4 linked regions of the Rhinolophus ferrumequinum genome follow. The protein of the gene in region 4 purifies or fractionates together with the protein of the main gene of each other region. This does not show direct contact. Links are inferred from orthologs where the notes say so. Each region holds a gene or a part of one and is shown on either strand. Other genes may lie near its edges. The genes, in order: WAPL, SMC1A, CDCA5 and PDS5A.

Region 1 (7,292 bases), on a different chromosome or scaffold from region 4:
CTCATTTTTTACTCTAAATACTTCCATGTCACTTTTTAAACAATGAGCATATATTCATATGCTGCTTACAAAATAAGACTAACCAACTCAATACAGCATATACAAAACCAACTTATACTGGAACATCAAGTTTTTAAATGTTTCAAATGAAACTATTTACTATTCTCATAAACATCACTTTTATGTTTAAAAATAATGTTAATAGGGTAATCAATCCCTAATGTAAAAATCTTAAGCACAAAATTTCACATTTTGCAGGATCTCAGAAATATCAAATTGTCAAAATTTAATTCTTTGAAATTTCAGAGTACTTATTAATAAGGGCTTGGGAAAACTGTGCTATTTCCTCATGCATTTAACCTGCAGCTTTTAACCCAAACTTAAAGATTCTGATTCTTGGTCTAATGTAATTTGAAGTGTGATTTGAAAAATATTCCTTAGTTGGTCATCTCCCTAGCACAAGAAACCATTTAATTTACCTTCTTTGTCCCTATAATACTGTGCTCATTTGCTGAAATTACATTTTCTGGAGCTGTTGAACCCCAGCATATTACAGTGGTACATGGATTACTAAAATAAGCAACAGAAACATTTAACTTTATTTTCCTCTCCATTCATAAAAGATTCATCTGCTTTATCTACATATTAATAAAAATTCTAGGACAAAAAAAATTTTCAGGACAAAAATCAAAAGTCAAACATTTTTAAAAACTAATTACAGCACTTTTTAAACACTATCAATTCGTATCCATTTCTTACACTTTGACCTTCTAAAGTTTAAATATCAATATATTAAAAGTAACTAGAAAAACAATTGCCTAGGGGCTTGAAAAAAATCTTCATACTTTGAAATTTACAATACAACTGGAGTAGTAATTGACTTACACATTTGAATATGTTTTGATTTATAAATGTTTTCCCTTTATTAACTTAAATTCTTGCAATCTATAGTGAATCACTATAAATTTAGTTTTATGTATATTCAGTAGAAAATTTTCCCCTTTCGTATTTGGTTAGAAGCCAATGCTAATTTGACAAAATAATTTAGTCATCATACACATGTGCATTAAGAGTATGTAGTTTGTTTGAAGACCATTTAACATGTCACAAAACATTTTCCTAAGGGAGATTTATTTCCCCTTCTACTGTAGATTTACACTAAGAATCTTATTGTCTTTCTTAAGTATAACAAACAAAACAAAGCTACAGAATAAAGTGATTTCGTTTCATTTCTCTAAGAATGTAAAGTCCTGATCTACTGATCTACGTTTACATACACCAACAAAGGTGGGACGATTTGGACACACTTACACCGTAATGACCTAAAAATGCTGACTAAATGCCAAACCAAAAATCTAGACTTCAACTCCGTTAGGCCCACATCAGAAAAACTCATTGCAAAACAGTCCTAGAACCACAAAGCATTCACTGTCCCAAGTTGGAAGTCTGCAGGTGAATATTTGGTATTACGAAGTTAATTATTTTAAATGATAACAAAATCATGGTTGTTTTTTAAGAGTTCATATCTTTTACAAATATATGCTGAAATACTGATGAAATAATGCCAACGATTCTCTAACTTCAAGGAGTGTGGAATGTAAAGCATGGAAACGAGAAAAATTTAGTGAAGAGTTAATAACTGTTCAATCTAAGATGAGTACATACATGGAGTTCATTACATAACATCCCCTTGCTTTTGATTTCCTTTAGTTTTCTATAATGCCTTTTTTTTAAAGTCACTAGACAGATTATTGTGATGGCATTATCTAAGCCTAGAGTTAGTGTCAAGTACGTAAAAATTCAAAACTAAGTGTGTGGACATACTTGACATTATAAGAATATTTCAAGTACATAAGGCTAGCTCAGGCTTCCCCTTCCAAAGACTATCATACTAACTATGAAGGGAAGAATGATTTAACATTAAGTCTTTGCGATCGCTGGGCCTTTTCGTTAGCCCAGGTCGAATTTTCAGGGAAAGTGCAATGGGATAAAAAGTCCTCACACTTTAACCCCCGTCCAAATCTCGAGTCTTTCGGCTCCCCAAGGGCTTAGGAATGAAAGCCGGAATAGGCAAAATTAACCACCCAGAAATCCTCACCTGCGGGCGGTCGGTGCGCCAAGGGGTAGCGGGAGAAGCGGCCCCCCTATGGCTGGAAGCTCACGCAACTTTTCTCCTCCCCGCCCCCACCGCCCAGGAAAGGGATGTTGCTTCCGACGCCCCGGAAGCCTCTGCCACCGAATCCCCAGGGCAGTGTAAGGCCTCGGAGACGGCCAGGGGCCGAGGAAAAGACGGCGAAGGATTTGGGGCTGAAACGAACACACTCGACCGCGCTTGGGGAGGAAAGTAAATCAGCAGCCTCCCAAAAAGAACTCAAAAAAAGGACAAATAAAAGAGAGGGGGAAAAAAAAGAGTTCTTCAGGTCGTTCCGCTGCCCAACTTCCTTAGAGGCCGGGTAGGTGAGATAGCGAGACTTCTTCCATCACCCCCTGCCAGACCCCTGCCTCCCCCACTCTCACTGGCTCGCTCCGGGCCTAGGCAGCCGCCCGAGACCTCACTTACCCTCGGCGCCTGGCGGGTGCTTTGGCCTCGGGCCGCCTCCGCCTCTCCCGCCCCCAAAGGCCCACGGGCGGGTGCCGGAGTCCCGCGCAGGAGGACAGAGCCGGCTGGTGCGCAAAGAGACGCAAGGGGCACCGCCACGGTCAGAACCCGCGACTCCGATCGCGGTAAATAGGAACCCAGTGGAAGCGGGGGGAGGAGCGGCAGCACCGCAACTTCCCTCCCCGCCTTGAGCGCCGCCAGCCGGGCCTGGGCCTAGGCCTCCCTGGCCACCGGAGCCGGTAGTGGAGTCCGCTACGTGCCCCCGCTGGGCCGCCGCCGTCTCCTGCGCCGCCGCTTCCGCCGGTGAATGGTCAGCGCTGGAGTTTGAAGAGGGCCCTGAACCATCTCAACGCCATTTGCGCTCCCGGCCCCCACCTCCTTCCTCCAACAGCCGCTCGCTCCGTCACTCCGCTTCCCACAGGCCCCGCGCGGCCGCCCGACCCCGCAGCCAATCACACGGCCGTTTACTCAAACCGCCGCGCAGGCGCCGCGCCCCGCATGCTCCGGCGCCCGCCATTGGCCCGGCCGCGGGGCCCGACGGGAGTTGTAGTCCCGGTCCGCGAGGTCGCCGGTGCTGAGAGTCCCGAGCGGGAGCGGGAGACGGGCGCAGCGGGTCCCGAGGCCTTGGCTTCCCCGGGCTCGGGAGCCAGCTCCTGACCCCGCTGGGAGACGCAGGTGTCGCGGGGGAGGGTCGGGGGCGCAGTGCAGGCAGCTGTGTCAATCGTTTCCCCTCCAGGGAACCGCCGGTGTCTGGGGACGGTGGGTTGTGCAGCTGCGCCGGGCCTGTTGGAACCGCCTCCCGGGAGCGGGGAGCTCGCGGCTCGAAGCCGCCCTCGACCCGGCCTGGCCGGTGCTGGCTCGGCGCAGGTAACGACAGCGGGAACGGGGAGGCCCAGGGCGCTGGATACCTGACTGCCGCAGCCAGGAGAGATGTGGGCCGCGGCTCTTTAATGCGCCCCCTCCAACTCATCCGTCCTTAACCTTCGTAGTTCTCCCTCCGTCTGCCCCGCACCCGTTAAAAGTGAACGAAGATATAGATGGTATTGAGGAATTATCGTTAACCTTGTTGGGTGTGATAACGGCAATGTGGTTATGTTTAAAAAAAAAAAAGATGTTCTAAAGTTTTTACAAAATAATGTGATGTCTGGAATTTACTTTAACTCCTATAAAAACTAAAGGAGGAAGAATCAAACAAGCCAGCGGGATGCGTACACATGGGCGCATTATTTCAGTCTCTGTTACTTGTATATCTGAAATTTTCCATAATAAAAAGTTTGAAGAAATGAACCAGTGATTGCCTCTGCGGAGGACAGGGAGGTGGGAGACAATGGGAGGAGTTTTCATTTTTCGCTGTACACTTTTTTGTGCCATTTAAGGTTTTTTCGGGTCAGTGTATTACCTTTTCAAAAAAGGAGAAAGTTTGGGGGGGGTTAATTTTATTTTGCTTTTTTAAGGCTGCAGTGGGAAAACGGCGTTGTAAAGAGGAGCGCGATCGGCATCTCGGTAAAGAGGTGCATGACTCATCGGGCTCCGATGGCCCTGTTTGGTGGGCGGTTAATGGAGATCCAACCGGGGAAATTAGAAAACTACTGATTGCTTTCAGTGAAAAGCAATGGATTATTTGCTTTGATGGCACCCAGAAGTTACCAAGCTCCTCCAAAAACTCTGAATAAAGAAAAAATAGTTCAGACATCCTGCAGCCCTTCCCAATAGGAATTCAAGGCGGATCTTAGTGTGGTTGAATTGTTTTACTTTAGCGCCACTGCTTGCAAAATTAATATTCTGACATTTACAATTTCCCAAATACTCTATCGGAACTTTCTTTGATTCAAAATAAATCAACTCTTAAGTAGCTGATATGAATGGAAGTTATAACAGACCTGTGTATTCCACTGGAGGTGGTGTGCACATAACTGTTTTATTTGGGTCAGTTTTGTCTTTTTTTTTAAATCAGCATAGGATCTTGTTTTATCTGTTTGAAGATTGCCGGCAGAGGTGCAAGCTGCTCTTACTATAATTATTTAAATGACACAGTGGTGGGTGCTAATTAAGGAATAATTATCATCAGAGGCAAAAGCTAAGATCAAAAAGCCAAAAGTGGTGGAGAGACAATTTCAAGATCTTCCTGTAGCAGAGTGCTGTGAACCCTCCAAGACCAAAGGATGGATTCACTGTGCCCTGGCTTGGCTAGTGCTGGGCACGGGGCTGGGACAGTGACTGCACTAAGCCAAAGTGGAAGACTTTTTTCTTTAAAGAAATAGACAATCTGTGGAGCCCCTTTTTGTTGGGTAGTTGTATAAAGTAATGGAATTTAGTAGTGTTAGATTCTTGCCAGTCAGCAGCATAGGCTTGACCTGGGAGCTTGTTGGGAATGTGGCACCCCTACCCCACCCCAACTCCACAGAATCAGAATCTGCGCTCTCAGAGGATTCCCCCAGGTGATTAGTCCACACTTTAAAGGTTGACAAGCACCGATCTGAAGTATATGTAGCATTTGCCAGCAACCTGATAGTTTTCATTTGGATGAGGGGAAAAGGAGAGCCGTAAGCACCTACTGTGCATCGGGCCCTTCATTTGCATCCTTGCCTGTTGTTCATATTTTACAGGTGAGGAAATGGAGAGGGCGGCATTCACTCAACTAATGAGGGAATCAAACTTTTTATTAAACATTAGATTTCCATTATTGTAGGTATTCTTGAATCTGGGAGAAAAATGGTACATGCTTTAAAAAGTAAAACATTGTGTATTAAAGTATATGGAAGCTTAGTATGTGAATACTGAGCAGAGCTGTGGTAGGGCTCCCACCCTCCTGTGCCCCACACCCAAAACGGCCTGCCTACTCTAGAGGCCCTCCTGGAGGAAGTCCAGACCCTGGGCCTGCAGGCTGTACCATCATCTTTACCCTTTACATCTTCGGTTCCAGTGTGGCCAAGCAAAGGCCCCAAAGGGCCCACCCCATTCCCTTGCCATGGCCCTGAGTTCCACACCAGAGTGAGCGAACTGGACTCCAGATGGATAACACATAGGCAAATAGCTTTTTGCTTTATTTTTATTTTATTGCTCGTTTTCTTAGTTCTCTCAATTTATACTCTGCCACCTAGATTGGTTCACTTCATTCGAATCAGCTTCACATACACACACACACCAGGTATCCAGTGGGTGTTTTCTTTGCTAGAATGCCTCTATGCAAGCTCTCAGATGTCTGATATTTTTCCCCTTTAAATATCATACCGGAAACTGAAATCCTGGATCTGAGCCAAGCTTGTACCCTCTGACACTAGGCTGTCCTCCTGTATGCTGCCTACAGGAGGGAAGATTCCCATGACCCTGAGTTCCACTTAGGTGGACTCATGCTTTGCTTTAGCCGAAAAAAGAAAATCCTGCAAAGAAAACTAATAGAAATATGTTATTGCCATTACTGTGACTTTGTTCTAGCACACCCATGGAAACTGTCAGACTGGAATTACTAATTAGAGCTGTTTAGTCTTTTACTGATAATGTGTAGTAAAACATAGTACAACTTATAAAATTCAGTTCAGAGAACTAAAAGTCAGAAATTACCACATTGGCCACAGAAAAGTTTTCCTTGTCATAGGTTGTGGAATAAAGTTACAAATCATACACTGGACCCTGTAGTGGTTGTGTTAGAACACCCTACAAGATGTGGGCCAGGCCCTGGCCCTTCCTCTCTGACACTCCCCAACTCTGCGCAGACTGGGCAGATGTGACTATTCAATTAAACTCCCCCTGACCAGCCTATTTTAAATAGTAATACCCCACTCCCAAATGCTCCTTATTCCTACTTTATTTTTCTCCAGGGCATTTATGTGGAGGAAAAAAATTATCAGGGCATTTATCAGTGCCTTGAAACTTAACAATAGTTTCATATAACCTGTGGCTCCATAAATTGTTGATGGTCCTCCCAATGGAGAGGGGCGTGCTTTCTGGAGTTACCTTTTGTTTTTGCTTTGGATCAGTTTTTATCTTGAGCATTGAGAAAATGAATACTACTATAATCCCAATTACCTTGTTTTCCAGGATAATTGGAATATGTTCTCCAGAGATGGTGATACCCTTTGGGAAATAAACTGCTGTCTGGGTAATTCAAAGACAAAGCTAGAGAAATTCCCTGGGGACATGTTGCCTGACGAGGATTGGTACCCAGCAACCTCTAAAGGTCTGGCTACCTGACTCTTCTCTTGAAACAGCCCTCTTCACCCCAGGTTTTTCACCCTTTTCCCCCCCAAAACAATAACCCTCCTGCAGCTTCCCATCACCAAAACTAAAATCCAGAATCCCTATTGTGGCCTACAAGGTCCTGCATGATCTGGCCCCTGCCTGCTCCGATCCCTTCCCACAATGCCAAGCCTGCTTCTGTCTACTGCTAGAACGTGCCCAACCAGCTCCTGCCTCAGGGCCTTTGTAGGTGATGCTCCCTCCACTAGTCCTGGAGATGTGAGTATGCACATGACTCGCTCCCTCACCTCTCAGGTCTTCACTCTAGTGTCTCCTCAGCAGTGCCTACCCTGACCGTGCTACTAAAGCTCAGCTCCTTACCTCGCCATCCCAGCCTTCGTAGCTCTTTTCCCTGTCATCTTTCTCTATAGTTGTCATCTGTGTGTTTTACATATTGCTTATCATTTGTTTTCTTCCACTCTAATATAAACACTATGAGGACAGGGATGGTTGGCTT
Region 2 (7,807 bases), on a different chromosome or scaffold from region 4:
TACAAGAAAATGTAAACAGTGTAATAGTAGGTAACAAACCAGGGAAGAAATGGAGTCTTCTTTTAACTGTATTATAGCCTTTGGTATTTTTTTGAATTTTATACCATATGCATTGATTAGCTATTCAAATACATAAAATTGTTAACATTAAGAGTGACAGTTTTTACTTTCTTCGTTTTAGACTCAGGAAAAAAACATTTTAAAAAATCTGGACTGGGACTGGAGGTGGGGAATAGTTTAATCTCTATAAATTCTATCTCAAGATTCTCCCCAACTATGTTATATGACAGTGAACTTTGGATCTGATTTCCAACACCGATCTACTCAGCTATAAAAACGGTAGCCCAGGTCCTTCCATGGAGGCAGCACAAGACAGATTAAGAGCTCGGGGTCTAGTCCAATAGACCAGGTTGTATAACCTTAGTTTCACTACTCCTTAGCTAACCTTCTATTCCCTCACCTGAAAAATGTGAAAAAGCATGACTCATAGGTGAAGCATCTAAAACGATGCTTGGCACATAGTTGTCTGTTAGAGTGGCAAGAGCAAAAGCTTGCAAGTGTAACAGACATGGGTTCCGATTCTGGCTCTGAGAACCAGTATGCAAGTCATCACAACTCTGTGCCTCAGTCTCCTCAAGTATAAAACAAGGATAACGGGATCTCCCTTCTAGGGTTATTGTGAGAATTTAAATGTAAAAGGTCCCAATAAATAAAGTACTTGACATACAGTAGGTGCTCAAAAAAACAGTAGCCCTATCCTAACAACAGTTCTAGACTCAGCTGTCTCCCTCATCACAGCAGGACTAGCACATCATGCAGACCCGGAGTCAGCCTTTTAGGCACCCATTTCCAACCTTTGGGCTTGTCCCATGCTCTCCAGGAACAGTAAGAATATCTCACAACCCAAGGCCTCCCTACTCACAATCACTCAATATTGTAAACATTTTTAATAACATGTATTATGAGCTGAATGAACAGTGATACAGTTTTAAGGAATGTCTTCTTTGGGGCATTCATAGCACAGACCAGTGATGAAGATACAAAAACATGCCATGAATACGAGACAGGAGAAACCAAATGTTCAAGTGTATCAAGTGTCTACTGTGTGCCTGAGAGGAATCAAGGAATGCCTTGTGGAGGTGGGCACTGAAGAATGGGGGGCGTGGGGGGGCGAGGAGGACAGTCAGACCAAGAGCCTTTTGGAGCAGCTGAGGGGGCTATACAATGAGGGGACTAATGCCAAGAGGTGCATCCTGGCTCTTTCCCCCACACCAAAATACTAAGAAACTGGAGTGGGACCCCAAGTATTAGCCCTCCAGGCCAGTGGTTCTCAAACAAGGTTGGGAGGGGATGATTTCCCGCCCCCTTCAGGGGACATTTGGTAAAATGTCTGGAGACATTTTTGGTTGTAACACCTGGGGGGTAGGGGTAGTACTGTCAGTAGTGGGTAGTAGCCGAGGATGCCGCTAAACATCCTACAATACACAGGACCGACCCCTTAACAAAGAATTATCTCGCTGGAAATGTCAGTAAGGCCGGGGTTGAGAAACCCTGCTCAACCGAGCCAAACCGGGGCAAGACTCCAGGCAAGGCTGTCAGTTAGAGCTACTTCAGCAAGGGCAGCTCCCCTCAGGCTAGGAAATGATTTAGCTAGAACAACTCTGGGGTGAAGCACAGCAGGATTCCAAACAAACACTCGTGGGGGTAGATGGGAGGAATCCATGGTGTATCGTTTAGAGATGGGAAGTTCAGATATGTAACAGAGGCCTTATCTAACCACCCTTTCTTTTTTTCCCAGTTTCACTGAAACAGAACTGACATGACATATTAGTTTCAGGTGTATACCATTATGATTCCACATTTATATAAATTGCAAAATGATCACCGCAATTAGTTAACATCCATCACCTCACATAGTTAACATTTTTTCCTTGTGATGAAAACTTTTAAAATCTACTCTCTTAGCAACTCTCAAATATATAACACAGTACTGTTAACTACGGACCACTCTTTCCAAAGACACCATCCACGTCACTCTATCACATCAACCTGTGTTATTTCCTGCACAGCAGTTATCACAACCGAAAATTATTCTATTTTCTCCTTTATTATTGTCTTTCCCATCTGGAATGTAAATTCCCTGGGAGCAAGGCTTATTCTATTTTCCGCTATTTCCACAGCACCTTGAATAAATTCCTTATAAAACAGTAAGCATTCAACAAATTTGGTGAGCGAATAAGTTCCGAGTTTTAACGGTTTCAGTGGTAGCAAAGGGGCGAGTTCGAGGCATCCCCACCTCTAAAATGGGGACGGGGTGGAGGGTCGAGACGCGAGCGCTGGGTCTCAAATTCAAAAGTGCCGCCTCCGAAAAAGAGTTTAAAAAAAAAAAAGAGGAGGAGGAATTGGAGCGTACCAATGCGAAGCGGGACGGGTAAGTGTACCGTTTGAGACCGGAGGTCACGGGAGGGCTACCAGCAGTCCCACATCTTCCGGAGGGTTCTTACAAGGCGGGGAATCCAGCTAGCTGGCAGCGGGCTCGGGACCGCCACTTTTGGCGGGAGGGGGCAGAGGGCGGGGGAATATAGAATCCGGGGCGTACCACTGGGGCCGGAGCGGGGGCCGCGCGAAGAGCGGCCAACTGACACCTGGGGAAAAGGTTCAAGTCAGAGCTCCTGAACCGGGAAAGCAGGTTTGGGCCGAACCCCCTGAGGAGCGGCAAGGAACCTGTTAGGGTTCCCGACATTTCAAGTGGCACGGGCTGGGCTGTACTACTCTGCTGCTGGATAGGGGGTCCGGGACGTGCCCATGGCCGCAGCCGGGTTTATCTTACCAGAGCCATTGGGTCCAATGATGGCGGTGAACCTCTGAAATGGTCCGATAATCTGTCGACCCTTGTACGACTTAAAGTTCTCGATCTCAATCAATTTCAGGAAGCCCATGACGGCTACGGCGCCGGCGGCGGTACGAATGGCCGCGCCGTGCGCCGAGGAACCGAGGTAGCCTGCGCGGGAAACACCGCAATGCAGGCCGGGCGGACCCCAAACGTCGCGAGAATAAGTGCAGGTCGAACGGGATTCCCAGCTTCCCGTGGGCGGGAGCTAGGGGCGGGGCCTTCGGGCTGACGCGCAGGTTTGTTGATCCGTTGCCAAGGAGCGAGCCTACGACGAGCGTTTGGCCCCGCCTCCCTTTCTTGTTGCTTGGCAACGCAGAGCGCCGCCACTACTGAGAGAATTGCAGAGGCAGCGGTGCGGGAGACTGAACAGCTTTCAGGATCTGAAAAAGCAGACAGAGTTCACTCTTGCTAACACAAGTCTGAAGTCACTACAGGGTTATGCCCTGCAGGGCGAGAGGAAGGTGGGAGTTCGGCTTTAGCCTGGCGGGCCAGAAGGCTCAGACAAGAATAGAGTGGGGTACTGGAAGGACCCCGGGGAGCGGGGAGCCGGAGGCTGTACAGGAAGGAGGGGCCAGCGGGAGGATTCGGTGTTAGATGGGCTCAGATCCTACTATGGCTCGGGGTTGGAGGCGGAGTGGGGTGGAGTTAGAGGTGGGATGGAGTGTGAAGGGGGATGGGGTGTTAAGAGCTACGAGGGTACTCGAGCCACAGGGATAGGGCTGGGGAAAGCCGTGGCCAGAGGTGCTACCCCTGTCCCCTGCCTCCCTCCTTTTCTTCCAAGCAGAGTTCAGAGACTGACGCTGTAGCCCAAGAACAGACTTGGACCTGAGCCACTTGTTGGCTATTTGAACCTAGACCCCACCTAGGAGCTTCAAAATTGGGACGCCTTGATAAGAAAGGTATTTTGTGTGAACCCTTAGGAGTCAAGGTCCCTAACCCAGTGTTCTCCACCTTTATCCTTCTTCTCTTCTCCCCCCTTTATCTATCTCTCTCTTCGTGCCTCACCTCCATGCCATTCCCTCCTCTCCATCCCCCTCTGCCCCATCCCTTGCTTTCCCCTTCCTCTTCTCTCTCTGCCCTCTGTCCTCCACACCCACCAACCGCCCTGTTGCTCTCCTTCTTTCCTTCTCTGCCCCCTCACTCTGCTCTCTCTGTCCCTTTCCTCTCTCTGTTCCCAATCTTTTTTATCCCTCCCCTTCGTCGCCTCATCGCCGTATCACCTTATACCTGCTCATTACCATGGCCATGGCCTTAGCAGTCCAAGAAGTTTAAAATGTCTGCTGAGTCTTCCCCTTCAGTGACCTTATATTGTGGTGACAAATGGAATGAGTAGGCTGGAGTTGGTGCTTAGACTTAGACATGGAAAGGGTCTGGTGGTTGCCATAGCCATTCCTGTAACTATTGTTTAAATGATGTCCAGAGGCTGAAAAGAGTCTTAAAGTTGTAGGACAAGTCCAGGAAAGTGAGCAAGTTTGGTTGATAGACTCTAGTAGAGAAGAGCCATAAATGAAGTTCAACTGGGAGGAACAGTCATGGTCAAGCTGAGGAGTAAAATGGCCAAAGGACAGCAATCTGACGTGAACTATTGTTTCATTTTAAAAGATGAGCTGGAGCTTGGGGGGAAGAATCAAATTGAATCACTGCCTCTCATACCATACACAAAATGCAATTCCAAATGGATTAAAAACTTAAATGAGAAAGGTAAACTTTAGAATTTTAGAAGAATATACAGGAGACTATATGACCTCAAGGGATTCTTAAATAATAAAAACTATTATCAAATAATAATAAAGTGAAAAGACCAGACACAAATTGGAAACGTTTGCCACATATAAACTAAGAAATGGTTAGTGTGTAGAATGCATAAGGAACTCCTAAGATTAATAAGAAAAACAACCTGATTTTTTAAAAAAAGAACAAAAGATATGAATGGGCACTTCACAGAAGAGTAAACAAAAATGGCCAAAACACACATGAAAAGATATGCAACCTCATTAGTGATATGGAAAATTCCAATTAAAATTGGTTATTATAATTTTACACCCACACATTGGCAAAAATCAAAAAGTCTGCAATACGAAGTGTTGGTGAAGATGTGAAGTAACAAGTTTTTATACACTATCGTCAAGGTGTAAACTGGTACAGTGTCCTTGGAAAACAAGTTAACATTATCTTGTAAAGTTAAATACGCTTTAAGTGTTATGATCCAGCACTTACACTCCTAGGTGTAGGCTAGAGAAACCTTCCCACCTGTATATATGTCTCTTTTAATCTACAGGTTCCTCCTCTCTCTTTTTCTCTTGCAATTACAAAAAAATACACTGAGTTTGTGCCACAGAGTCCTAGTCTCTGTTGAACCCACTTCAGTCAGGCTTTTGGCCCCATAACCCCCCCCCAAGAATGTTCTGGTCAAGGTCATCAGCAATCCTCATGTTAGTAAATCACTTCTCAGTCCTCCTCTTAACCTGTCATCAGTTGCTCACTGTCTCCTCCCAAAAGCACTTTCTTCACTTGGCTTCTCTGACTCTCCTGGTTATTCTCCCACCTCCCTGGCCAGTTCTCCTGAGCCTCCAGTGCTAGGTCCTCCTCTCGTCATCTCCCCCTGGGACACTGTTACCCATTTACATGCGCTCCCTTAGAGATCTCTTATAGCCTTAGAGCTTTAAATTCCTTTGTATCAGTCAGGATTGGTTAAATGATGCGAAGGTGATAAACAACCCCCAAATCTCTGCAGCTTATAAAAACAAAAATGTATTGCTCGCTCCCCCTTGTCCATTGTGGGCTGGCTGCATCTCTGCTGTGTCATCATCCCAGGACCTAAGCTGAAGGAGCAGCCCTTACCTGGGACATCACCAGTCTCATAGCAGAGAGTAAAGACAAAAAGTGGCTCTCACCTAACAGCCCGTAGTTCTGCTTAGGAATGGCACGTGTCAATTCTCACACTGGACAGGGCAAAGCAAACGTCATGGCTAACCTCGAGGGCAATGAGATAAGGACGTAGAATGTTCCTGTAGACAGGAGCAGCAAATCTTTTTGAACAATAATAAAATGTATCATACCGTTTGTATGTGATTGATGGACATCTATTAGACTCTCAAACTCAGCAGTCCAAAACTGATCTCCTGACCCTCCCCCCATCCCATACATCCCATCTGCCCACACAGACTGTTCAGTTGATAATAAGTGCATCCCTCGGATTGCTGAGGCCCAAATCCTTGAAGTTATTCTTGATACTGCTCTCACACCATACATGCAACCCATCAGGAAGTCCTGTCGGCTCTGCCTTCAGAATCTAACCACTTCTCACCACCTCTGCTGTTACCAACCTGGTGTGTCTCTATCATCTCCTGTCTGGACAACTGTGACAGCCTCCTGTCTGGTCTCCCTGCGTCTAGCCCTGCCTCCCGTACCTCCAGTCTATTCTTCACACAGCAGCTAGAGTGATCCTTCAGAAATCAAAGGCAGAACACGTCCTTCCCGCTGCTCAAAACCCTCCAATGGCCGCCCATTTCTCTCAGAGTAAAAGCCACAGCCCTTACAGTGGTCTGCAAAGTCCTACATTCTCTGTCCCCTCTGTCATCTCTCTAATGTCATTTCCTACCTACCTCTCCTCCACTCACACGCTTGCCACATGCTGAATGTGTGCCCCTCATGTCCACCATCAGGCCTTAGCACTTTCTGTTCCCTTTGCTTGGAGTACTCTCCTCCTAGATATCTGCATAGGTGACTCCCTCACCTTCTTTAAATATTCGCTTAAATATTACCTTCTCAGTTATGCCTCCACTGACTTCAATATTTAAAATTGCACCCCCATTTCCTTGGCACTTCCAGTTCCCCTTATCCTGTTCTATATTTTTCCCATAGCATTTATCATCTTACAAACTATTTAATGTACTCTTTATTGTATATCTGCCCCCACTAGAAAGTAACATCCACAAAGACTCAGATTTTTATCACTTATGCTGCTTGGTGTCTCCCAGTGCTTCAAGGAGTGTCTGACAGTAAGAACTCCACAAATACGAGGTATGATCAAACAATATAGTGAATGTTTAAATTTGAAAAAATGTGTTACAGTAAAAGACACATTGCCCTTAATCCCCCTCAAAATACTCCCCCTCGCTTCGAACACACTTATCCCATCATTCTTGCCACTTTCTGAAGCAGTTCTGGAAGTCCTCTTTCATTGAGTGTCTTTAGTTGAGCTGTCGTGACTGCCTCAATGTCCTGAATCGATTCAAAACGTTTTCCTTTCATGGTCATTTTGACTTTGGGGAAGAGCCAGAAGTCGCACAGTGCCAGATACGGTGAGTAAGGTGGAAGAGGACACACTGTAATGTTTTTGACAGAAATTGCCATATACCAGAAGTGATGTGTGACATGGAGCATTGTCATGATGGAGGATGAAGTAAAGACATGAAAGGAGACTTCCAGAACTGCTTCAGAAAGTGGCAAGAACGAGGGGATAAGTGTGTTCGAAGCGAGGAGGAGTATTTTGAGGGGGATTAATGGCAACGTGTCTTTCACTGTAATAAATTTTTAATTTAAACATTCACCATATTGTTTGATCACACCTTGTATATTCTAATATTTCATAGTTACAAAATGGTTTTTCAAAAAAGATTGCAACTAGCTAGAAGAAGAGTTGAGGAATGGTGTTGCAAACAAAAGAATGGCAGTGTATAAAGGCGGAGGTGGGAACAGTTGTTTCATTGGAGGACGTGATGGAGGTCAGTGTGCCTGGAGCACTGTCAGCGAGGAAGCCGGCCACATGAGATCAATTCCAGACGTGTGCAGGGACCAGATCTTGAAAGCCCACAGTCAGGAGTTTGGATCTGATTCTAAGGGCGTGGGAAGCCAGTAGAGAGGGTTTTAAGCCGGTGAGAAATATGATCAGATTTATGTTTGCAAAAGTGT
Region 3 (6,823 bases), on a different chromosome or scaffold from region 4:
AGGAACAAGCAGGCCCGTGTGCCTGAATCGAGTGGAAGTTAAGGAGAGGCACTAAAGACGGGGCATGAGAGGTCATTGGGGGCATCCTAGGGCCTTTTCTAGGCCACTGTCAGGGGAGACCCAGGGAGCCCTGGCAAGGTTGTGAACAGAGCGTGCGGATTAGGAGGTTCACATACTGTCCCCTATAATTCCACTCAGCTCAGAGGCTGCTTCCTTAGGGAGGCTGTCCCTTACCGTGGAGTTTAGATCAGACCCTCCTCACCTCTGCTCGTCGCTCTCTGTCACAACAACGCTCTCCTGTACAGCAACCATCACTTTCTGGTTTGGGCTTGTCCATTGGTTGACTGTCATCCCCCCAATAGAATATGGGCTTCATGAGAGCAGGGGTCGTTATCTGTCTGGCTGACCCTGCCTGTGCCCCCGTCTTCAGCACAGCCTCACGTGCAGAGGTGTTCAGTAAGTTAATGTACACAAAACCCAATTAATGTACACGAAACTTGGCACTGAGCTGTCTGGCAGCCCAGACAAGAGGAAAATGAGACAAATTCAATGACTCTTACAGTCAGCTAGAAGGAAGTCCATTGGTTATCAAAAAGAGACACGACTGCAAGCTCTGGAGAATATGCCCCATGCGTCTCGTCAAAGGGATGCTGAACATGGCGGTTACCCGACTACTACTTCCTTATTCCCTATGGCCAAGCAGTCACCCAAGTCGTCGCAGCCTTTTCTGTTTACTGTCTCATGAATTTATTAGTCAACCAACAAGAATGAGTGACTACCATGGGGGAGGTGGCAGTCTCTGCCCTCAAGGCACCTACTGGGGAGAGAAAGACAACAAATTACCCCGAGCCATTGATAAGTCCTAAGAATTACATTAAGAAATGTGACAGTGACTGGATAGGGGTGGTCAGGGAAGGCTTCCGGGAGGAGGTCTCCACTGAGCTGAGTCCTGTGTGATAGGACAGTCATGTGGTGAGCCAGGGGGAGGAGCATCACTTTGCCATCACCTTACTTTAGGCCCCCATCATGTCACTTCAGGATTCCTGTCAAGTCTTCCTACTTGGTCTTGGAACCCCTGGCAGTCTTTTTCCAGCCGATTCTCCACCCAGCTCCCCCCACCCCCACCCCCAAGAGGGAGCTTTCTCAAACACCAAAGTTTAACTCAGTCACTACCTTGCTTAAGACTCTCCAAAAGCTGCCCGCAGTGCCAAGGATGAAACCCAAGGTCTCAAACACAGCTTTCATGCCTCATCAGGATCTATTCTGTTCTGGCTTAGCACGCGCCCTCCTCTATCAAGGTCTGCTGCAGACATACCAAGAAAGGAAGCTGTTGCTCCCCAAACCTTGTTTTTTCAATGTGTGTGTGGAATCCAGATCTCTGCAAATACAGCTTCCTTTACAGACACTCCTACTTGTCTATAAAGATTAAAGACTCATTTTAAATATTTCTTCTTCTATGAAATGTTCCCTGAGCCACCTGGTCTGGGTTAGGTGCCTTCATACCATCTAGTTCTTTCTGTATTGCAGTCCTCAGCATACTATGTTATCACCTGTTCATTTGTCTTTCTTCCCACTCGACTGTAAGCCCCATGAGCTCCTCAAAAACAGTTGGCATTTCTCATTCATTATATCCTCAGGCACAGATTTTAATGAAACATCTTGACTTCTGCTAAAACTGCAAAGCCATCATACACATAACTCATATTACAACAACCGTAAATAAAAACTGAGGACAAAGGGCGGTCGTTTGGCTCAGTTAGAGCGCGGCGCTCTTAACAAGGTTGCCAGTTCAATTCCCACATGCGCCACTGTGAGCTGCACCCTCCACAACTAGATTGAAACTACTTGACTTGGAGCTGATGGGTCCTGGAAAAACACTTAAATAAATAAAGTTAAAAAAAAAAAAAAAAAACTGCAGACAAGATGGAGCAGAAAGAAAGTTAGGACACAGTTAACGTTTAAAGGAAAATGGTAGAACGTACCATCTCTTGAACATACCATCAAGAGCTAAACATATTAAGTCTATAAGGAGTAAGCAAGGTTGGCAATGCCTGCAGGTGTCCAAGGGCAAACTGTTTCAAAATACTGCGAAACAGCTTCCTGAGCAAACAATGTGGGCCACTATAGTCTGTCCCAGCCTCTACAGTCTGTCCCAGCTCCAGAATGTCCTGGATTCTACTTAACAAAACAAATGAAAATGAACTCACCCTAGGGCTCCTTCGAGGCGAGCGGATGGATGGGACCTGTGGAGACAACACTTATTGATCACAGAGCCGGCCCCTAATTGTGGTTCCCACCCACAAGCTCTCTCTCAGTCCTCACCTTTACACTATGGGCCACGATCTTCTTCAAGACGATGGGCTTTTTGACTGGAGCCACCGGGGGTGCCTGGAGAAGAGGGGTGACCATGAGCTCTACGTGAGTCCAGAGACCTCTAGGGTAGGAACTGAGGAACCCCGGGCTCACCTTCGGCCAGATGTTAGGGAGGGTGCTGGGGAGATCGGAGCCTGATTTCCGCTGGGACCTCCGCAGAGACTGATAAGATGGGGTGTTTGGTCCTGGAAAGAGAAAAAAGTTAGGAGGTAGGGGAGGGCTCTGGACCTCAAGGTCTGGAACACAGGTTCTGGAGACAGTGAGAAAAGGTCCCCCAAGAGGCACTTTGGGGGAGCCTTCTCGGGGCGGAAGGTGGGCCGTGGGTCATCCATCGTAGGGCGGTACGGGGAGGGCCTTCGTCATGGGACTGCAACCCTCAAACAGCTCGGCCCCGTCTCTCCCGCGCGCCCTCCCCTCACCAGAGCGCTGAGAGGCCCCTCCAGACCGCGTTCGCCTCTCCGACATGTCTAGCCTTCGTTTGGATTGCCGCCGCCGCCGCCGCCGCCGCCTCCCGGGCTCGCGCCAACCCGAGGGCCTTTCTGAAGCAAAAACGTTCGGATTACCCGCCCTACCCAGGAGGAAGCGGAAATTGCGTAAGGCGGGAGGGCCGCGGTACTTGGGTCGCCTCTTCCTCACCGGTCTCAAGTGTACCGTCAGCCGGGGTGGGGCCAGGGGCGCGCTGGCGTCATCGGCGCGCGCCGCACCCGGAAGAGACGTGGCAGCCGGGGCATAATAGGAGCGGCCCGAACTGGAAAGAGCTGAGCTGGAGGTCCGCGGAGCGCGGTGTCTGTCCTTCCGTGTGTTGGACCAGCGCGCGTCTGTCGGGACCCGTGCCCGAGTGGATCAGTAACACGGAGAGGGGGTCTGTGGAGAAAGTGGGGGCGGGGCTTCGAGGGGTGGGACTCAGGAGGGGCCCCTGGAGGCGGGGCCGGTGGTATCGGAGAGACGCTGATGGAGGGGCCTGGCCGGGGGCGGGATCCAGGAGGAAAGAGTGGTCTTCGGAGGCGGGGTTTATGCCGGGAGCGTGGTCCGGAATGAAGAGGGGCGGTGGGCAGGAAGTTGGGGCTCCGGCGAACGTGAGAGTGTCTAGGGGAGTTAAAAATGGAAACGAACTGGGCTGGTGAGTGCGTAGCGGCCACCAGAACCTAGCTCCCTACCAACTCTTCTCCAGGGTCGACCATGGGGCTTTGCAAGTGCCCCAAGAGGAAGGTGACCAACTTGTTCTGCTTCGAACACCGGGTCAACGTCTGCGAGCACTGCCTGGTAGCCAATCACGCCAAGGTGGGGCCTTCAGGGGAGCGGCTGAGCAGGGCACTGGGAGGGCAAGTGGTATTGGCATCCTCCAAATCCATGAAGGTCCTGGCGCTAGAATGGAAGCTCCACGAGGGCAAGGACTTGGTTTATTTTGTTCACTCCTATATCCTCTTAAGACAGTGTGGCACACAGTATGTGCTCAATAAATGTTTATTGATTGAACAAACGAAAGGATAAGTCTCCTCTGTGATGAGAGATAAAGAGGCAGTTGGGCCTTAGGGAACTGGGCTGTGGAGCCCAGCTCCAGTTGTGACCTCTCTCTCCCACTCCAGTGCATCGTACAGTCTTACCTGCAGTGGCTCCAAGATAGCGACTACAACCCCAATTGCCGCCTGTGCAACATACCCCTGGCCACTCGGGAGACGACCCGCCTTGTCTGCTATGGTGAGGCCTGGGCACCTGGGGGGATCAGGATAGGCCCAGCCTGGTGACTAGTTTCCTAGCCCTCCCTAAGTAGCAGGACAGTGAGACCCCTCTAAGCCATGAAGGCTGGAGCCCCAGATTCTAATCCTGCTGGGTTACTTAACCTGCTCTGTAAGCTCAGGCAAGTCATTTTTCCTTTCTAGGCCTCAATGTCTCCTTAAAAATGAAAGTTCCTAGTTTCTTCCCTCCAATCTCAAGGGTTGAGCAAGAGGCAGTCAAACTTGTGGGCGTGGTTGAGGCTGTGAGCTGGCCAGACTGGCATGGGCCTTTCAGACATTCAGGATCCATTACTGATTCCAGGATTAAACAGAAAGGAAGCGAGTTTCCCATAGTAGAGTCAGCTAAAAGCAGTCGGCAGACATGTGTCATGACCTTGACGTTGTGTACGAGCTTTAGCTCCCTTTTTTGGAGAAGCTAGTGCAAAAGAGTGAGCTCCACGTAGGTGTTTCTTAGTGTGAGTGCATGGCTATACGTGCATGAATTTAATGTGCTTTGTGTCTTTACATAAGTGTTAGTGAGTTCATTAGTACTTGTGGGTGAGTGAATGGGTAAATGTTGCGTGTGAACATAAGAATACAGGTGTGTCGTGGGGTTGCAGAAGAGTGTGTGGGTGAGGGTGCTTGAGTGTTAGCACACAAGTGAGTGTGTAGATGTGTATGTGTGAGAGTTAGTGTGCCTGTAAGATAGATGCAGGGATGGCACTTGTTTGGTTATGTGTATATAAGCACAGGTATGTGTGCCCATGGAGGTGTAGAGGCATATATGTGCCTGTGTGTATGTCTAGGAAGCTCTTCTGAAATTGTTCTTGATTAACTGTTAGCTAATCAAGGAGCTTACGGCATCATCTTTCCACCCATCCCCACTTCCTGGTAGGCTGTGTAGCATCTGCTTTGATTCAGTCAGATGGTGGTAGCCAATAGGGCCGAGGGCACACTGACGAAATGGACCTGGGGCGAGTATGGGAAGGAGGTGGCCCTGGGCTTCTATGTGTGTGTGCATATGTTCCTGCAGTGGGCTAGGGGCTGTTGCTGGGCTAGGGGTACAAAGTGTCTTCTTCCTCATGCCCCTCCTCTGCTATTTCATGGGCCCTAAGATCTCTTCCACTGGGCCTGCCTCAATGAACGTGCTGCCCAGCTGCCCCAAAATACAGCGCCTGCTGGCTACCAGTGCCCCAGCTGCAGTGGCCCCATCTTCCCCCCAACTAACCTGGCTGGCCCCGTGGCCTCCGCGCTGAGAGAGAAGCTGGCCACCGTCAACTGGGCCCGGGCAGGATTGGGCCTTCCTCTGGTGAGAGTCCCTCTGTCTGTCTAGGGTTCCACCTGGGCCAGATGGGTGGGTGGGGAGAGCACTGGGCAGGCTGGTGACACAGGTTCCTTCCTTCAGATTGATGAGGTGGTGAGCCCGGAGCCTGAGCCCCTCAACACCTCCGACTTCTCTGACTGGTCCAGCTTTAATGGTGAGTGGCAGTCTCCGCCTGCTGTTGGGGCCCTTGCCTCCCTGCCCTGCTGACGGCTCTCTTCGTGCCACAGCCAATGGTACCGCTGAACAAGAAGAGAGAGCCAGTGCTTCTGCTGCCCCAGCCTACTACAACCAAGCCCCTCGGCCCCCTGCTTCCCCAAGCCGGCCTGAGCAACACACGGTGATCCACATGAGCGGGTCCGAGCCCATGACTCATGGTGAGCAGGGGATTGTCTAGGCCAGAGGAGGATAGAAAAGGGGTGGGGTGAAGGGAGCTCGGGTCCAGAGACCCATCTGGAGGGACCCTTCCTCACTCTAAGCGCAGACGTTACCGCTCTACGATTCTGAGATTTACTGTCAGGCCGAGAAAGGCAAGGATCTCCTGCCGTCCCCACTCCCCCTGCTGTGGGCCAGTTTCCCCGAGCCGGTGTATGCTAATGGCTCTGCCCCTGCAGCCTCGGCCCCGAGGAAGGTGTATGACACGCGGGACGATGACCGGACACCAGGCCTCCACGGGGATTACGACGATGACAAGTACCGTCGCCGTCCTGCACTGGGCTGGCTGGCCCAGCTGCTCAGGTACACAGGGTCAGGTGGGGCAGGATGCCAGGAAGGGGGAGGAAGGGAAGTGAGAGCCGGTCCCCGGGCACGACAATTTCATGACAAAAGAGGCTTGTCCCTGGGTAATATCGGGCCCCGGTGTTGGGGCTGAATAGAAAGGTCTCTGCTTGGCAATAGAACTCTTGGGTCTGCCGTCTCCAGGGCTGTTCCTCAGCTGCTACATACGAGGTTTCAACTCGGGCTCTTTGAGGCCCCTTCCTGCTTTGCCACCACCCGATCTTTGTAACTGTCCCCATGTCTGACACCTTCCGGTTTCCAGAACAGTCGGTGCCTCAGTTGGTTTGAGCGGCACGGTCACCCTTGTAGTGGCCAGGGCCAGGGATGTTCGTCCCCATGGCTCACTTGAGGAAATGAGGCTTGATGGTGGTGCTGGGGCCAGAAGACGAGTATCGTGATGAGGGCTCCTCGCCAGGCCGCGGGGCCCCCAGGGATTGGGGGCCTGATCTGACTTTCCCCTCGTCCCCCCAGGAGCCGGGCCGGGTCTCGTAAGCGGCCTCTGACCCTGCTCCAGCGGGCGGGGCTGCTGCTGCTGCTGGGGCTGCTGGGCTTCTTGGCCCTCCTTGTCCTCATGTCTCGCCTGGGCCGGGCTGCAGCTGACAGTGACCCCAACCTGGACCCACTCATGAACCCTCAC
Region 4 (7,482 bases):
CACATCCCTCATTGGTCCGTGGATTGCCCTCATTCATTCATTCATTCATTCATTCATATGTTCATTAATATAATTAATACAAAGAACACATGTGAACCACCACTCTGCCTAACAATAAAGATTTAATAAGAATGTATCTACCTTTGCACTTATTCTCTCATCTTGTTCCCCTATGTTGCCTGCTTCCCCTGTACTCCAGGGGTAATCACTGCCCGGAGTCTTGCTTTTGGATTTTGTAAACAGGTTATCACATTATGTCACTAAGGTTTACCCATGTTGCTTGTACCTGTAGTTTCTTTCATATTTGAAAATATTGCGTTGTGGTTTGCGGTCCCTGCTTGTTAAATAATACTCAATTTTGATGAAACAACTCAAAGAAAGCTAATACAGCTAATGAGGTGGGTCACACTTCACACTTTAAATTGAAGATGTTCATGGAGACTAAGATATTAGACAAAATTCAAATAAAATCTTTAAATTACTATGACAAACAAGTTAATCCTAACGTCTTGGTCATACTAGACCAAAATGATTCAGACAGCTGTGAAACATGTCAAACTCATTTCATTCACTACAGATAGATATGCTATTATCCTATGCCTAAATATATTTAACAAATCTAAGCTGTCGGTGGTATCTGAAAAGACACTAAAATAAAGTACCATTTTTTTAGTTTCATAGTGATTATGACATATTGTTAAAATTTATCTGTGACGGAGATACATGGATGATTCATATTTATAATTTGTAAAATTATTCGGGATAGATTTAGCAAATTACATTTCAAATTGAAAATCAAGTAATTTCAGATAAATAGAATAAACACATTTTTAAAAACTGCTTTAAATATTTTTGCAATTTTATAATTTGGTTATATTTTTGTCTTAGTTCACTTTCACTATAAATGACTTTAGTTTTGTATTACTCCAATTCATCCTTTTAAAATATCGCTGTGCTAAATAGCTACAGCATTCAGTATGAACACAGTTTGTCTTCTACCCTCAACTTCTCTCAATCACTCCTACAAACTATACTCTAGAACTGCATTGTCCAATACAGTAGTCACTAGCCAGATGTGGCTGTTTAGATTTCAAAATTAAATTAATTAAAATGTGGCTAGCGGCTACTGTATTGAACAATGCAGGTATGGAACATTTCTACTGTTGCAGAAATTTCTATTGGACAGAACTGCCTTAGAGTTTGGATCTAGAATTTCTCTACAGAATTTGTGGTTAGTAGTATGGTTGATATAGGGGTATAAGGATTTATCCTAAAGGTGCATTAGATGTCATTTTGTATGTAGACTGTATGCTTGTATTTGTGTATATTGGGAGGGGTGCTGACTGAAATTATGTGGGGTAGAATAAGACTCACGAAGCTACTCTTTTCTTCAATTTGTTCTAACTATACCACCCTACCCTGCCCGAAAATTACACTTAATTACCTCCATCCCCGCCCCTTTGTGTTTTATTCTTTTCCTTGTGCCATTTTCCACCTTGTGCTTATCTCTATTAGCTATTGCCCTCTCACAACTACTCACCACGATTACTCACCATTCAAGGCCCAGCCTCAAATGCTCCTCAAATGCTCACCACGATTACTCACCATTCAAGGCCCAGCTTCAAATGCTCCTCTTTGGAAAGCTACCATAGCACTCCTTTCCTAGGCTCATAGACCATGTAGTTCAAAGCTCTATTATAGAATATATCACAGCCTTGCCTCGAATTATCGTTCATTGTGTCTCTGATTCCTCTAATAGATTCTGATCCTGTTAATGGCAGGGACTTTGTCTTCTTTGCTTTTTAAATATTTCCCCCGTGCCTACCATAGTACAATGCATTTACCCACTGCAGCAGTTCAGTAACCGTTTAAATTGACTTTTAAATAGCTTAGATGTCTAAAAGACATCCTGACCCTAAATCTGCTCCAAGCATACTCGAAGTGCTCCCCTTAGTTAATGTTATATTAATAGTTACTTTATCCTAGTTACTAAGGTCTAAAACTCTGGAGTCCTCTTTAATTTCTTGACTCTACTCTTTTTCTTAAATCGTTTTCATCACCTCCACTGTTAGTTATTACCTTGTTCTTATTACTATCTCTCCTTGGGATTTTTGCAGTTGTCTATGCTTAGTTACCTTACTTCTACACTTGCATTTCTACATTATTTTCAACCCAGCAGCTAGAGTGATTCTTTCATTATATATATATATATATATATATATATATATATATATATATATATATATATATATATATATAAATTAGTAGAGCTCAGTATGTGCCAGTTACTATTCTAAGCAATTTACAAATGTTCACTTATTTATTCCTCATAATGACCCTCTGAAATAAAAAACTATTATCCCTGTTTTACAGATGAAAATGAGTATCCCTGTTTTACATAGAAAAATGAAGTAATTTGTGCAAGGTTGCTCGTTCATAGAACATAAATCATACCACGTCACTTCTCTGTTTAAAACACTCCAATAATTCCCCATTTCAGTCAGAGTACAAACCAAAGGACAAAGGTCCAAAAGGCTATATTGGATCTGCATCACCCTTCTTCTCTATTTTCCTCTATAACAATTTATTTATTTGTTTGTTTGTTTGTTTGTTTTTCTCTCCCCCCCAAATTAAGCTCCAACAAGGCAGGCAGGAATTTTGTCCCCTTCCCCACTACCAATTTTTTTTCTCGGTGACCAAAACAATGCCTTAAAATAATTGTTGGTCCTCTTAAAATAATTGATGCACAAATGATTGTATCTCATTTACTGTAAGTGGAAAGAAATGTTTAAGAAAGGAAGTAAAAACAGGAATTTTAGAATTCCTGAATTATAGAATATATAAGTTTATGTGTTGTAATCCCTAGGGCTTACTATCTTTTGAGTTCATAAAGTCAAACAATATTAACAAAATAATAAATAAAATTAAAATTTATGGGCATATACAAAATTCCATTTAATAATGGGTAAAATTACTTAGAGAAAGAATGAAAATGAAAAGCATCAATCACTCTTTAGGTATTTAAATGTGACAGATAAAAAAACACTGCGAGAGGGAGAGCCTAAAGAGCCACTCTTGAATGGATTCTGCCTGCTACTCTAACTGCCCAAGAACAAAGCACAGACTTTCAGGCAGAGTTCTAGTAAATCAGCAACTGTGGCACGTTAGATTCCAAGCGATTGGAATCTCCCTTGTGTAATACCTGAAAAACAATTCATGAGTGCAGTACCTCTAATATTTTTAAGATTAAGGAAAGGATGTGGAAAAGACCAAGGGATACCCATCAAGAATAATTTAAATGAATAATCGCATATCATTTTAAACTTGTGATAGTAGTCAGTTTCAAGAGCTGAATGCTATTTCATACTATTGTGGGTTGTTGTTTTTTTTAAGTTCGTCTTCTGAAGCACCAATGTGCTTCTGAGGTTCACTTGTTCAACTTTTTACATTAAACTGCTCAAACCCACTACATTGGGTTTTCCTCTAGATGAAGGAAAAAGTTATTCTTCGGTATATCTAAAATACTTCTTTTTAAAATGAGTTCTTCCATATTCACACGAACCATCTAGCTAATTTGTAAACATTCTTATTTCTGGGTCCCACGGTTTGGGAGTGGATGGAGCCCAGGAACTTACTTTTCAGACCATTCTTTGAGAACCACTCGACTCTGCTATTTTTGTATTTTGCAGCTTTCAAAATATTCATTCTAGAAATCTAAAGAGGAAAGGGCTAACTCCGGTGGCTGTCAGAAAGAACAAGAATAAGCGGCCCACGTTGTGCCATGTCGCAAAACTTTTCCTCCGTCTGCAGATCTTCTGTCCCTAGGGAGGAAATCAGTCCATTTTCACCGAGTAATTAACCATCTTTCAACCAGTTCCGTCCACGTCCTTCAGGATAACTCCCAAAAGTCATGAACTCATTTCCGCGGCTTAAGGTACAGTATCCTGAGTACCCTCACAGGGCCTCCGGGACCGGGTTCGCTTCCCGCCGCCTCTGCTCGCCTTTTGGGTCTCGTCCTCCCCGTAGCGCTCGGCGCGGCAGGTCTTGGCGCCAACCGGGTGGCGGCGCTGTCTGCCCCACGCGCGGCAGCCTCGGGCCCGAGGGAGGCGGAGGCACGGCCGGCGGAGGAAGGGGCGGGAGCGAGGCGCGCGCCCTGCTCTCGCGTGCTCTCGCACCGCTCGCGTGACCGGCCGGTGGGTACGCGAGGCGTCGGCTCCCTGGGGCACGGACGGCGGGGCGCGCGCCGCTGCTAGGGGCGTCCGGGTCCGGGTCGGCGGACCCGGCCGGCGCGAGGTGCGAGGAGGCGGGCCGCGGGGACCCGGGGGGACTCGAGCGCACACGCTCCCGGAGGAGCCTCCGCCGAGGCTGCTCTTCCTCAGCCAGACGGAGAGCGGCAGTGTCTCCCCGCCCAGCACACACTAGCCCCGCGTCTCCCCCCGCGGCGGCTGCTCCTCCTCGGCACCGCCAGCCCCAGCGCCGCTCCGGGGCGGGCGGCGGCGGCGGCGGCGGGACCGGCGGAGCCGCTTTGTGTGCAGCCCGACGAGGGGCGGCGGCGCAACCACCTGACAGAGGCCCGGGCGTTCGATGCACCTTCTGTCCGCATGAGGAGGAGGAGGTAAAGGCGGTGGCGGCGGCAGCTCGGCTCCCGCCCTCGGCTGGTGGAGGGAGGGGACGGAAGGGGAGATCGGAGGCGGGGGGGGGGGGCGCGGGACCGAAGCTCGGCAGGGCTGCCCGGAGGTGCCGGTAAGGCCTCGGCGGCGCGGGACGGCACCGAGTCGCCGGGGGCGAGAGAAGCCGCTGGGGTCCCTTAGCCGAAGTTGAAGGAACAAAATGTGAAGTGCGGAGCCGCGTCAGCCGCTTCCTGGCGTGGGGTTTAGGGTGGAGGGTGGCTTGTTTTCCCCTCCCGTAGGGGTGGGGGAGCGGGACAGGGGAGGGGCGGGAGCGTGGCGGGGACGCCCGGGGTCCCGAAGCTCGGCCCGGCAAGGGCGTTCGTTCTCGGGAGCCGCCGGTGCGTGTGGGTCCGGTCTGATCGCTAGTTTTGCGGCCTAAGCCGAGCACTATAGGCCTCGTGTCTCTTTTCCCTGAGGGGACCGGCCCGGCGGAGACTCGGGGCTTCTCTCTGACGGAGCGGGGGGCTTGTGGGTCTCGCCGGACTCCCCAGGCCTCCAAACTTCGGACCTCGGTGCTTGGGGGTGGATTTCATTGTGAAAGGCGGAATGGGAAACTCCTGGCGCTGCTCTGCGCTTCCCGCGGCCGCAGCGCCTGGTGCCAGAAAGCCCCGTGGGCCCGGGACTAGCCGGGCCCGCGTGTGTAGGGGAAGCCGCTAGGGTCCATACCCCGGGAAGGAGCGGGTGGCGGGGCCGCCGCCGAATCCCCGGCCTTCCGGGAGAAAAGGCCCTTTGCAGATTAGAGATTTTTTGAAATGAAAAAAGAGGTTACAAAGTCGCCCCTTTCCCGCTGAACTTTTGTTTTCTGACCGATAGAGGCCGGTAGAGGACTGTGAAAGAAAAGTTGTCCCCCAGGATGGACTTCTCCACCGCGCAGCCCAAGCCTGCAACTGCCCTCTGTGGCGTCGTGAGTGCAGACGGGAAGATTGCTTACCCTCCGGGGGTAAAGGAGATCACCGACAAGATCACCACCGACGAAATGATCAAACGACTGAAGGTAAGCGTCTGGACAGAATGTCCACACTTCAGACGGGTGTGGTAAGAGGTGCTGTCTCCTGTGGTATTACTCCACTGCGAGGCCTGGCCTTTAGAATTTAATCCTACCAGGCCTTTTTTTTTTTTTTAGATATTTTATCGCCTTCTCTTTTACCCTCTCTGAAAAGTATTCTGTCTCGGCTGTATCTTTGAATAATAAGTTCTGTGGGGACATAATCATTATGGGAAATTAGAAGGGTGTGTGTGTGTGTGTGTGTGTGTGTGTGTGTGTTTTAATCTTACTGTTTTTCAAGAATTCAACTTTTAAAGTTTTTTTGTAGAAATATTTATGAAAATATTTATGTTCAAAGTAGCTTGCAACCTTAAATGTAGGTAATAATTTGCCTAGGAAGTCCTGTTTTCATCATCTGAGGAGACTTGATTTAAGCCCAAAAGGTAGTCTTTAAATTGTCACAATTTTCTAATATCCAGAAACTTAAATGTGTCTAAGTATGGTTAGACTTTGATAGAAGGTACTGACTTCAAAATTCAGGCTTAAAGTAAGATGATGTTTTAGGTCCATATGTTCCAAAGGGTTTTAAAAGAGAGTATGATGGCTCTTTTTATAAGGAGTCAGCTTATTTAGTTTATTAGGTCAAGGTTGTAAATTTCAGCATTATGTTGGTCAATTTTTTGTGGCCACAGCCTTAAAAAAAAAATAAATGCATTCTTGGGTGCAGCCAGTTAGCTCAGTTGGTTAGAGCACGTGCTTTTAACAAGGTTGCAGGTTGGATATCCACAAGGGCCACTGTGAGCTGTGCCCTCCACAACTGGATTGAAACAACTACTTGACTTGGAGCTGATGGGTCCTGGAAAAACACACTTAAAATAAAAGTTTAAAAAAAAAAGAAAGAAATGCATTCTTAGTAAGGGATTAACTTGATACAGTGCTCCTCAACCGGGGCATCTTTGACCCCCAAAGGATATTTCCCAGTGCTGAAGACATTTCGCTGTCACAGTTGGGGCTAGGTTGGAGAAGGGAAAGGCTGGAAGCAGCGAGTCCAGCTAGGAACTGTTAATAATAGTCTAGGGGAAAGATGCTGAAATCTTGAGGTAGGTCAATGATTGTGGGAGTAAAGTGATAGAGGATGATCTAAGAGACAATTCAGAGTTAGAATCAGACTTGGTGGGAGGTGAGGGAAGAAACAATGTTGACAGTGTTTCTACCTTGAGCAACTTGGTGAAAATGTAGTTTTAGGGAATGATGTTGCCCCTTTGCTCTTAGAGCTTAGTATAGTGTGCCTAGTAAATGTTTACAGTGTCGTGAGTGCTTGTGAATATTTAAAATATTCTTGTAGTTTAAGATCTATTTATTTATTGCCTCTTTGGAAGGAATAGGACAAAACTTTTCATTGAAATCTTGATACCAAAGATTTTACATGAAGTGAGGTGCTTAATTGATGCTTCTTAAGGTTATATTGAGTGTTTTGAGATGCTGAAAAATTATGAAATTAAAAACTGTTAAGAAAAAAATTTATGGATCTTTTTTATTGTTATCATATTAAAGATATTGAAACCTTGAATTCTAGTGATGGATAAGCTGGTTTAAAAAAAGTTGCAACTATATATACATTTTCCACTTGAAAGTAGATTAAATATCAGAAATGCTGTCAACCATAAATGGACATAGAACCAAGTCTAGAATGAGCATTGGGTTAGAATATCCATTTGGTATGAGTTCTTTTGTAAGTTGACATTGTCATATATATTAACCAATTTAAATGTCCTGCTGTTAAAATTTTGCTATTCTCAAGAATTCTTAAGATTTTGCCTTTCTCCC

What was found.
Region 1: the proteins of PDS5A (region 4) and WAPL purify together in Homo sapiens (affinity purification with mass spectrometry; 6 studies listed by BioGRID and IntAct, with this or other methods). This does not show direct contact. The link is inferred for Rhinolophus ferrumequinum from reciprocal best matches to the Homo sapiens genes PDS5A and WAPL.
Region 2: the proteins of PDS5A (region 4) and SMC1A purify together in Homo sapiens (co-immunoprecipitation; 8 studies listed by BioGRID and IntAct, with this or other methods). This does not show direct contact. The link is inferred for Rhinolophus ferrumequinum from reciprocal best matches to the Homo sapiens genes PDS5A and SMC1A.
Region 3: the proteins of PDS5A (region 4) and CDCA5 purify together in Homo sapiens (affinity purification with mass spectrometry; 4 studies listed by BioGRID and IntAct, with this or other methods). This does not show direct contact. The link is inferred for Rhinolophus ferrumequinum from reciprocal best matches to the Homo sapiens genes PDS5A and CDCA5.

The regions. Positions count from the first base shown.
Region 1 is NC_046299.1:61,528,880-61,536,171, forward strand, and holds the start of WAPL (wings apart-like protein homolog), read right to left. Parts: upstream 3,002-7,292; 5' UTR 2,561-3,001; intron 1-2,560. UniProt on the Homo sapiens protein: Regulator of sister chromatid cohesion in mitosis which negatively regulates cohesin association with chromatin. Involved in both sister chromatid cohesion during interphase and sister-chromatid resolution during early stages of mitosis.
Region 2 is NC_046284.1:82,385,122-82,392,928, reverse strand, and holds the start of SMC1A (structural maintenance of chromosomes protein 1A), read right to left. Parts: upstream 3,021-7,807; 5' UTR 2,940-3,020; coding exon 2,831-2,939; intron 1-2,830. UniProt on the Homo sapiens protein: Involved in chromosome cohesion during cell cycle and in DNA repair. Central component of cohesin complex. The cohesin complex is required for the cohesion of sister chromatids after DNA replication.
Region 3 is NC_046294.1:6,518,994-6,525,816, reverse strand, and holds the start of CDCA5 (sororin), read right to left. Parts: upstream 3,005-6,823; 5' UTR 2,839-3,004; coding exon 2,793-2,838; intron 2,559-2,792; coding exon 2,467-2,558; intron 2,389-2,466; coding exon 2,323-2,388; intron 2,244-2,322; coding exon 2,208-2,243; intron 1-2,207. Other genes in the region: ZFPL1 (zinc finger protein-like 1), read left to right, coding at 3,553-3,654, 3,960-4,071, 5,204-5,397, 5,494-5,566, 5,640-5,786, 6,024-6,147, 6,658-6,823. UniProt on the Homo sapiens protein: Regulator of sister chromatid cohesion in mitosis stabilizing cohesin complex association with chromatin. May antagonize the action of WAPL which stimulates cohesin dissociation from chromatin.
Region 4 is NC_046288.1:14,335,883-14,343,364, forward strand, and holds the start of PDS5A (sister chromatid cohesion protein PDS5 homolog A), read left to right. Parts: upstream 1-4,474; 5' UTR 4,475-4,615; intron 4,616-4,706; exon of another isoform or gene 4,707-4,837; intron 4,838-5,483; 5' UTR 5,484-5,523; coding exon 5,524-5,664; intron 5,665-7,482. UniProt on the Homo sapiens protein: Probable regulator of sister chromatid cohesion in mitosis which may stabilize cohesin complex association with chromatin. May couple sister chromatid cohesion during mitosis to DNA replication.